2 linked regions of the Diceros bicornis minor genome follow. The protein of the gene in region 1 purifies or fractionates together with the protein of each later gene. This does not show direct contact. Links are inferred from orthologs where the notes say so. Each region holds a gene or a part of one and is shown on either strand. Other genes may lie near its edges. The genes, in order: ARRDC3 and WWP1.

The links.
Region 2: the proteins of ARRDC3 (region 1) and WWP1 purify together in Homo sapiens (affinity purification with mass spectrometry; 4 studies listed by BioGRID and IntAct, counting the BioPlex papers as one, with this or other methods). This does not show direct contact. The link is inferred for Diceros bicornis minor from reciprocal best matches to the Homo sapiens genes ARRDC3 and WWP1.

Annotation. Positions count from the first base shown.
Region 1 is NC_080740.1:17,721,915-17,725,823, reverse strand, and holds the start of ARRDC3 (arrestin domain-containing protein 3), read left to right. Parts: upstream 1-1,082; 5' UTR 1,083-1,313; coding exon 1,314-1,593; intron 1,594-3,909. UniProt on the Homo sapiens protein: Adapter protein that plays a role in regulating cell-surface expression of adrenergic receptors and probably also other G protein-coupled receptors.
Region 2 is NC_080772.1:36,154,111-36,158,019, forward strand, and holds the start of WWP1 (NEDD4-like E3 ubiquitin-protein ligase WWP1), read left to right. Parts: upstream 1-1,714; 5' UTR 1,715-1,836; intron 1,837-3,909. UniProt on the Homo sapiens protein: E3 ubiquitin-protein ligase which accepts ubiquitin from an E2 ubiquitin-conjugating enzyme in the form of a thioester and then directly transfers the ubiquitin to targeted substrates.

The sequences.
Region 1 (3,909 bases):
TTATAGAATTAAGCCCTATTTATATATCAAAGCATGCTTTTTAAAAACTATCTTATGCGCTTCACTAATGTCTAACAAAGATTTTTCGATCTTCTTGTAAACATTATGTCAGCTAAAGCACTACGTCACGCTGCCTTTTATAAGGTGGGACTTTTTTAGGGCAAAGTCTATTCTTAATCCTCTGGACACAGGAGTTGTAATCATGTCATACCCTGCAAATGGAGCTGTAGGTGGTGTCTTAAAAACAGGCTTTTTCTTCCTTCGAGGAAGTGGTCAAGCCTTTTTTCCCCCCTGGTGTCATCATGCAAACAACTTGGGTTATTTTTCGCTGCTATCTAAGAGATGGAAGAGAAAACAAAACCTACTGATTAAATTATACTTGCTTCTCTTCCTTGCTCCGTACAGTATTCTCTTGAAAGTTCCTTTGCCGTAGACTGAGTTCATTTCCACCCTGCCTACAAAATACTAGTTTAAAAAAAAAAAAAAAGAACCAAGCCAAGAATGCTCTTGTCTCGGAACATCATTTCTTGTCTGCTTTTTATTATCTTCTTGGGAAATTCGTTAGATTATGCTGAGCAACCGGCCGCTTGCCCAACCGGTTTCTCCCCTACCCCCATCTCTCTTCACACATCACTTTTTCTTCCTCCCATCCAGGCAGTGGGCAAAACCCTGCAGTGCCGGTAACGCACGCTTCGGGCCGCTCACCCCGCAGTGCATCCCGACTTGGCTTTGCGAACAGCTCCCCACTCAGCCCTTCTCCCCCAGGGCCCCCTCTGCCATCATCTTTCCACACGAGTGTGCTCGGTAAGGGGCTCCAGGTAAGCACGTCGAGGGTTTACGGTAGCCTGCCTACCAATAGGAGCCCACAATGCAGAGAAGTCAGGTTCAGCCTCCCGGCAGCCCCAGAGCCGTCTTCCCCTAGCTGCACACCTACTGTACCCGCGAGCGAGCGAGCGAGGGAGCGAGCCCGGCGCGGGAGGGGGCGCGCAGGGAGGGCGGGCAGCAGCCGCGGCGCGTGCGCATGCGCACTGCGGTTGTTTTTCACAAAGCTGCTCTTAAAGTGAGCTGGCAGCCTCCAACCGCCCGTCTTTGTAAGGAGACCACTGAGACTAGCGGCAGCGCGGAGCAGCAGCCTCTCTGCTCCCCTGACTTTTTAAGAAATCTCAATGAACTATTTGTAAAGAATCACTGATCCTGCCTGCAAGCTTTTTGCACGGCAAAGACATCGATCAGTGTTAAGTGAAGATCACATTTTATATGTGATCTTGACTTTTTTTGTCTTACATTATATTTTTATAGATTTTGTTATAAACATGGTGCTGGGAAAGGTGAAGAGTTTGACAATAAGCTTTGACTGTCTCAATGACAGCAATGTCCCTGTGTATTCTAGTGGGGATACAGTCTCAGGAAGGGTGAATTTAGAAGTTACTGGGGAAATCAGAGTAAAATCGCTTAAAATTCATGCAAGAGGACATGCGAAAGTACGCTGGACCGAATCTCGAAACGCCGGCTCCAATACTGCCTATACACAGAATTACACTGAAGAAGTAGAATATTTCAACCATAAAGACATCTTAATTGGACACGAAAGAGGTAAGTTTTTATATTATTCAGAAATCATTAGACCTGTTTTCCTTGAGAGAGTGCCTTTTCAGTTTTTCTAAATTAATGTAATTCTACTTCCAGCATAACACAATTCTACTTCCAGCATAACACATAGATAGCAGTTTGATAAAGATTAGCAAAGTTGGAAGATTTGGATTCTCCTTGACATTCATCGTGTGTTAAGCTGTAATGCATGCAGGCATCTGCAAAGTGACTGCAAACTGCACTTAATTCAACTACCTCTATAGCCGGCTTGGTCTGTGCCATACGCACTTGCAATCCATTTGCACCTTACTTATGAATTCTGCTTAAATCCGATTCAGTAGTTTTACTAATATGGTTTCAAGTGAATTGCTAAAAGCTGTAGTCCAATATTAGATTTTTTCCTTATACTCTGCAACCTTAGATGTTAAAAACTAAGCTTCAGTGAAGAAATGGGATGACGTTAAGTGGGTTAATAGGTGTATTTCATTTTTAATATTGACACGCAAAAGTCTTTAAAGAATTGATCATTGTTCTTTGATATGAAGGGTTTCTGTGGCTTATTTTGACATATGGTATCAACACCCCACGTGTTTTTTCCCTATTCTTTCCAGTTTCTTTAGAAATTTACATCAAGCAGTCTCTATTTTAAAAGACAGTATCTATCATTAGGATATGTTTCAAATCAGTTTTAGAAGCCATTTAGGGTCAGTGATGTTCTTTTCCGAGCATCATGTCTAACTTTGGAACGTGCATTCAATGAAACCCTTGCCAGTCAAATGGAACTGAAAAAGTATTCGGCACCTTGGATTTGATTTTTTGCTTAAAAAAAGGAGATAAAGGGTTGTCAAAGGGAGAAGGGGTCCTGAGATTTTCAATCTATTGTTTAAATGGTTACATTGTGGAAATATAGAAGACTCTAAGCTTGTTTTTCTAAGTTTCCACCCTTTGTTAGAAGCGGTTCAATCCTGTTTCGGACCAGTTCTGGGGGGTGGTGAGGAGGGGCGCTTGTTCTGCTCTCAGCAGATTGGTTACACGCGTCAGGTGGTGGCGATGACTTAATTCCTAACCCAAGAAGAATATAATGTTAAAACTGGTTATGTAATTTTGTGCTTCTCCTTTTTAATGCAGTATTCAGTTTAAATGTTGACGATTTTTCAGAGTAGAGCACATTTTACCTTATTTTTTATATTAAAAAATAGACCTCCATGAGGAAGTGCTAATTGAACTAAGGCAAGTGTAGAAAATGAAGGATGCTTTGAGTTACAGCATCAATGCGTTACTTTTTAAAATATTTAGATGAAATCAATTCTTTAGTTTGGTTTTCAGTTACATATAGGTAATTTGCATCCTGAAAATAATTTCTGGTTAATCTCACCAAGCGGTAACACCGATAAGAACTGTAAATGCCCAATGACAGTCCTGGTGTTTGTTGAAAAGCAGACACATGAGTTTGTGTTTGACCATTTCTGGACATTGCAGCTTTTGATAAAATGGTTGAGGAGAAACAAAGGTTTCTAAGGAGTTGAGGCTTGCAGTGGGGTAAAAGTAGAATAACGACTAATAGGCACAAACACAATTTCATTAGTTTCTCCGTGATTTCATGGTAAAGAAAACTCCGTGCCCCACACCCTACGAGGTGCCCCGCAACCCCTGCAAAGCGTGGACGAGCTCTTAGACTGGAATAGTTTCAATGACTTAAAACTGGGACCTCTCAAACTAGCCTGGTTCCCGAGACCCCGCCCCGGGCACGGCGATAGGCGGAGCCGGGTTTGTTAGCCTGTTGCTAAGGCGATGCCAGGCTCTGATTGGATTGGGCGCGGGCGGGTGGGGAGAGTGGGCTTGCGCCGGCTGGGGCGAGGCTTGGAACCGGCGTGCGCCGGTAAAGGTCCCTCCAGAGCTGCCTCCGCCGCCCGACTCGCGTCACTCCCCGGGCTTCGGGATGCGCCGGGGGCTCATGTCACAGAACGTTCTGTCGCCCCTCTTGGGGCCCCCGAAAGAAACAAGTTCAGGTTCCAACAGCATAGAGGGCAGAAGCTCCAGCAGGCCTTACAGGTGCCCAATGGCCCTGGTTGCAACTTGAGCTTGCAGTCCTATTCAGAGGGAACTTGGGTGGGCAGGGTTAGCAGGACCCCGTTCCTGTTCGGGTGGAAGGCGTCAGGTAGCTTCTGTGAACGCTTGTTTTCCTCTTAGCTGAAACAAAGCGTGTTTGCCGACCTATGTAGTCACCAGACGGGCTACCTTGATTTGACCTGCGGGGGGAGAGTGCAAAGGCTGCCACGAGGGGAAGGAAAAGTGGTATTAACACGGAGAGCAGGGTGG
Region 2 (3,909 bases), on another chromosome or scaffold:
GAGCTTCTGCATGGAGGAGAACTGAGGGAGGAAGCTAAGGACTCAGGAGAGCTTGAAGTGAGACACAGTAGAGCAGGAAGTGGAAGGGGGCCTGTGTGCACTCTGCAGAGGGAATGCAGACCTCTGCTGGGTGTTTGTACGCAATGTCTGAGAGTGCACTTGTAAGTCTGTTCTTGAATTTATTTTTAAAGGAACTGGACCAACAAAAAGGTGAGGAAAAGGTTAAAGCAGAAACCAGTGAGCACAATCAGGGGACTCGGAAGAGTTTGTCATAACAGGAGAGACAGAGCACGCAAGCATGAAAGAAGCCTTGAGGATCATGTTTATTTTTGTCTTAAAAGCTCTGATGAGCCAATGAAAGATTTTAAGCAGTGGAGTGTCGTGCTCAGATGTATGTTTTGGAATAATCATTGTGGATATAGGGTGCATCAAATCCAGGTATCAAGTCAGAGGGTAGGACCTGATGTAATGGAGAGAAAGAGAATGTGCATTCATTCAGTCCAAAGATATTTATTGAACCCTACAAATATTCATGGAGTGTCAATGCTGTCCGTGGTACACAATTCTTTCAAAAGCTTGGTTATGATGGAAGAAGACAGAGAACTAGAAGGAGGTTGTAAAGTCAAGGGAAAATTTAAGACAGAAAAGTCTTAAAATGTGATTATACTGAGGAGTTGTACCCAACAGAAAGGATGAGGTTAGAGATACGTCAAGGAGGGGGTCCCAGGAGGGAGAGGTTTGCTTGGAGAGGAGCAGGGACACTCAGCCTCTGAGACAGAGCACAACTAGTAGGCTTGCGTGTGGATGTAGGTAATTTGTGGGGTTTGGGTGAGAGAGTTGGGCAAAAATTGCAGAAATCCCTGCTTGATGGTCTTCATTCTCTCTCTGAAGTAGAAGAAGTAGAAGCACAGGTCATCTGGTGAGCAATGCGGTCACCAGTGACTTCTACTTGCAGGGTGGCCTTTCTTCTAAAAGCCACACACAGAACCAACAGCCCCTCTCTAGACTAGTTGATTGGTTTGTATAAATGGGGAGAACAGACCCTTCCATATGGCACTGCTGTACGGATTAATCGCCCTGACACGGGTACCTGCTCAGTATTAGTTTTATCACTGTACTCATGGGGGCGGGAGGAGTGAACGTTTTGAGTACCAATAAAAATGGACTGGCACTCTGCTTATGACCATCCCTAAACGCTATTATTTCCTCTCCCAATGGGTTCTAAGTCAAACACTCGGTTAGGTCAAGGGGGCTATATTAACAGTCTCCTTTTGCTGTAAAGCGTTCAAGAACTGAACGCCAGCGCCCCACGACCTCACTTGAGGTCACGCACAGGTCCGGCCTCGAACCCGAGACTCAGGTCTGCAGCAGCCTGCCCCGCCGCCGCCCCCGGCTCGGGGAAGACTCCTCCCAGTCTGGGCCGCGGCCCCGCCCCTTCCAGGCTCAGGCCCCGCCCCCCTCTCCCATTGGCTGGCCCCTCGGCCGCTCCGAAGACCCGGAGGAGCGGAGTTTCCCAGACGCGTCGTCGCGCCGCCTCACTGCGCATGCTCGCGGGAAGCCGGATTCCGGTCCGGAGCGGGAGGCTTGGGCGGCCGCGGCGCCGCGCGCGGGGCGGGGCGGGCGAGAGGCGCGCTCCCGCGGGGGTGGGGCGGGCGTCGGCGCGCTCCCGCGGGGCTGTGGGGTCGACGCGGGCGGCGGCGGCGCGCGGCGTGCGGGCTCCGAGCGGCGGAGGCGGCCTGGCGGCCGGGGCCGCGCTGCTGCGAGATGGCGCCCGTGGGCGCGGAGGGCTGAGGCGCCGCCGCCGGAGGAGGGCCACCGGCCGACGGCGTCGCGCCGGTGAGGACGCCGCGGCGGGCGGCGGGCGGCTGAGGCGGCTGAGGCGGGGCGGGACCCTCGGGGGGCGCGGGCCGCCCTGCGGCGCCGGGAGAGCGGGCGCGCGGGGCCGGGCCCGAGCGCTGGCCGGCGAGGGGCGTGCCGGGAGTCGCCCGGCCCTCCGCCCGCGGCTCCGCTCCGACGCCGGCGGGGCCCCCCGCACGGCTCCGTCGGACGGGCTTCCCGCGCGGTGCGCTCCGGCCCCCGGCCCCCGCCCCCCCCCCGGTGACCTGGGAGGTGCGGTGACCTTGCAGTTTTGACTAGTCCTCAGCTCGTCGGTGACTTGCACCTTCTCGTTTCATCTCTGTTTTTGAAATTCTCGTCCTGCGCTGTGCCCGCTGCCGCTGCAGCCTGCGCACGAGCAGCCTGGGCGCGGGCTGTCTCCCCACCGTGGTTCGGGTGGGCTCCGTGGGCCCCCGTGATGCTGCGACCCCTTCCGTGCCGGGGAGGGGGGTGTCTGTTACCTTGACGTTTGCAGTCTTCCTGGGAGAGATGTTTTCCAGGGCCTCGATGTCGCTTTCTTGTTTGTTTGATAAGTTTTTATCTTTCTGTGTAGGCTAACGTGCGAGAAAGATTTGAGCGTCTGCTTCCAAGTGCCATTGGTAATAGGAGTGGGCAGGAATTACACCCGAAGTTCTCCTTTCCCTCCCTGTGCTGTTCTTGCCCGAAATTCCTAGTGGACAGTGGTCTGCAGATTTCTACAGGAGCACATGTTTAAGTCGGCCTCACCTGCCTCGCTCAATCGCCGTGTGTGGGGCGAGCAGAACGCGCCTTTTAAGAAAGAAAGGCGTTCTTTTATTTATGTGACTTGCTGTTAGCCATCAAGTGGCACGTTATCTGTGACTGGAAATGGTCACTTTTCGTAAGAAGTTACTATTCTTTCAGTTGAAAACTTAGCGGCCAAGTGTTGGGAGCTGCTCAAATCAAGAAGTGTCGAGTGTGGGGAAGAGTTCTTCGGGCTGTAGCTTATTCACATGTTCACATGGTTCTTCCCTTAAAATGCAAAAAGGTCTCTAAGACCTACCACACCAGGGCTTTGAAAAGCAGTAACTAAGGGTTATGTTTTTTGTAAGCCTCGCATGATAGAGAATGTCGCTGAGAAGGTCTTTGCCTTCAAGGAAATAGTCGTCTTTGCTGTTTACCCCGCGAAGGCTGGAATTTCTTTTGCCTCCTTGCACAGTTCTTAGCCTCTGCTGCATGACTGTGTGAGGTGTTTGGGGGAATATAAAGATGAAGATGATACCAGTTTCTGCTTTCACAGACGAGGTAGGCACGTAGGACTGTACACAAAGGCCTCGTTTGTCTTTTAACATATAGTTAAGTTGCGTAGAGAATTCACATTCAGAGCGGGTAGAGCCCACATCTGATTTGGCAAGGTGGGGTTAGTTCATAGAGCTGGCTTCTGAAATCTTTGTTTTGAAGGATGACTGACTCGGGATAGGCTGGGAAAGGTAATCCAAGCAGAGAGAAGGGACTGAGAGCACCGAGGTCAAACACTTGGGGAGGAGCAGGGCATTATGTTTGGATGGGACACACGGTGTGTGTGCTGGTAGAAAGGGTAAAGCTTGAAGTAAAAATCTGGACCGGTTTATGATTGTTGTATATGCCTGGCTAATGACCTTGGATGGGGGGGGGTGTCTTACAGATGATTTTTGAGTTGAGAATGAAATGATTAAAGCCTAGCTTTCAGAGGATTAATCTGGCATCAGCGTGTGGAGTGAATTGAAGTAGAGAGACCCTGGGGTAGGAAGGCCTTGATTGCTGTGGTTGTAGGTAGTGAGGGTCTGAACTGCAGCACTAATAATAGGAGTGGGAAGGAGGAAGGAAGTAGAAGAGACAGAATTTGATGAGAGAGGAAATGAAGAAAGTAAAAGATAGCTAAGATTCCCATCCAGGTTGATTGGGAGAATAGTGGTACCATTTTGAACGACATCCATGGAAGCTTTATCTTGGGCATATGTGTGTTACTTTATAGCAGTGGTTCTCAGCCTTTTGGGGATTACTAATCCTTGAAACTAAAATCTGCTGGCCTGGGAA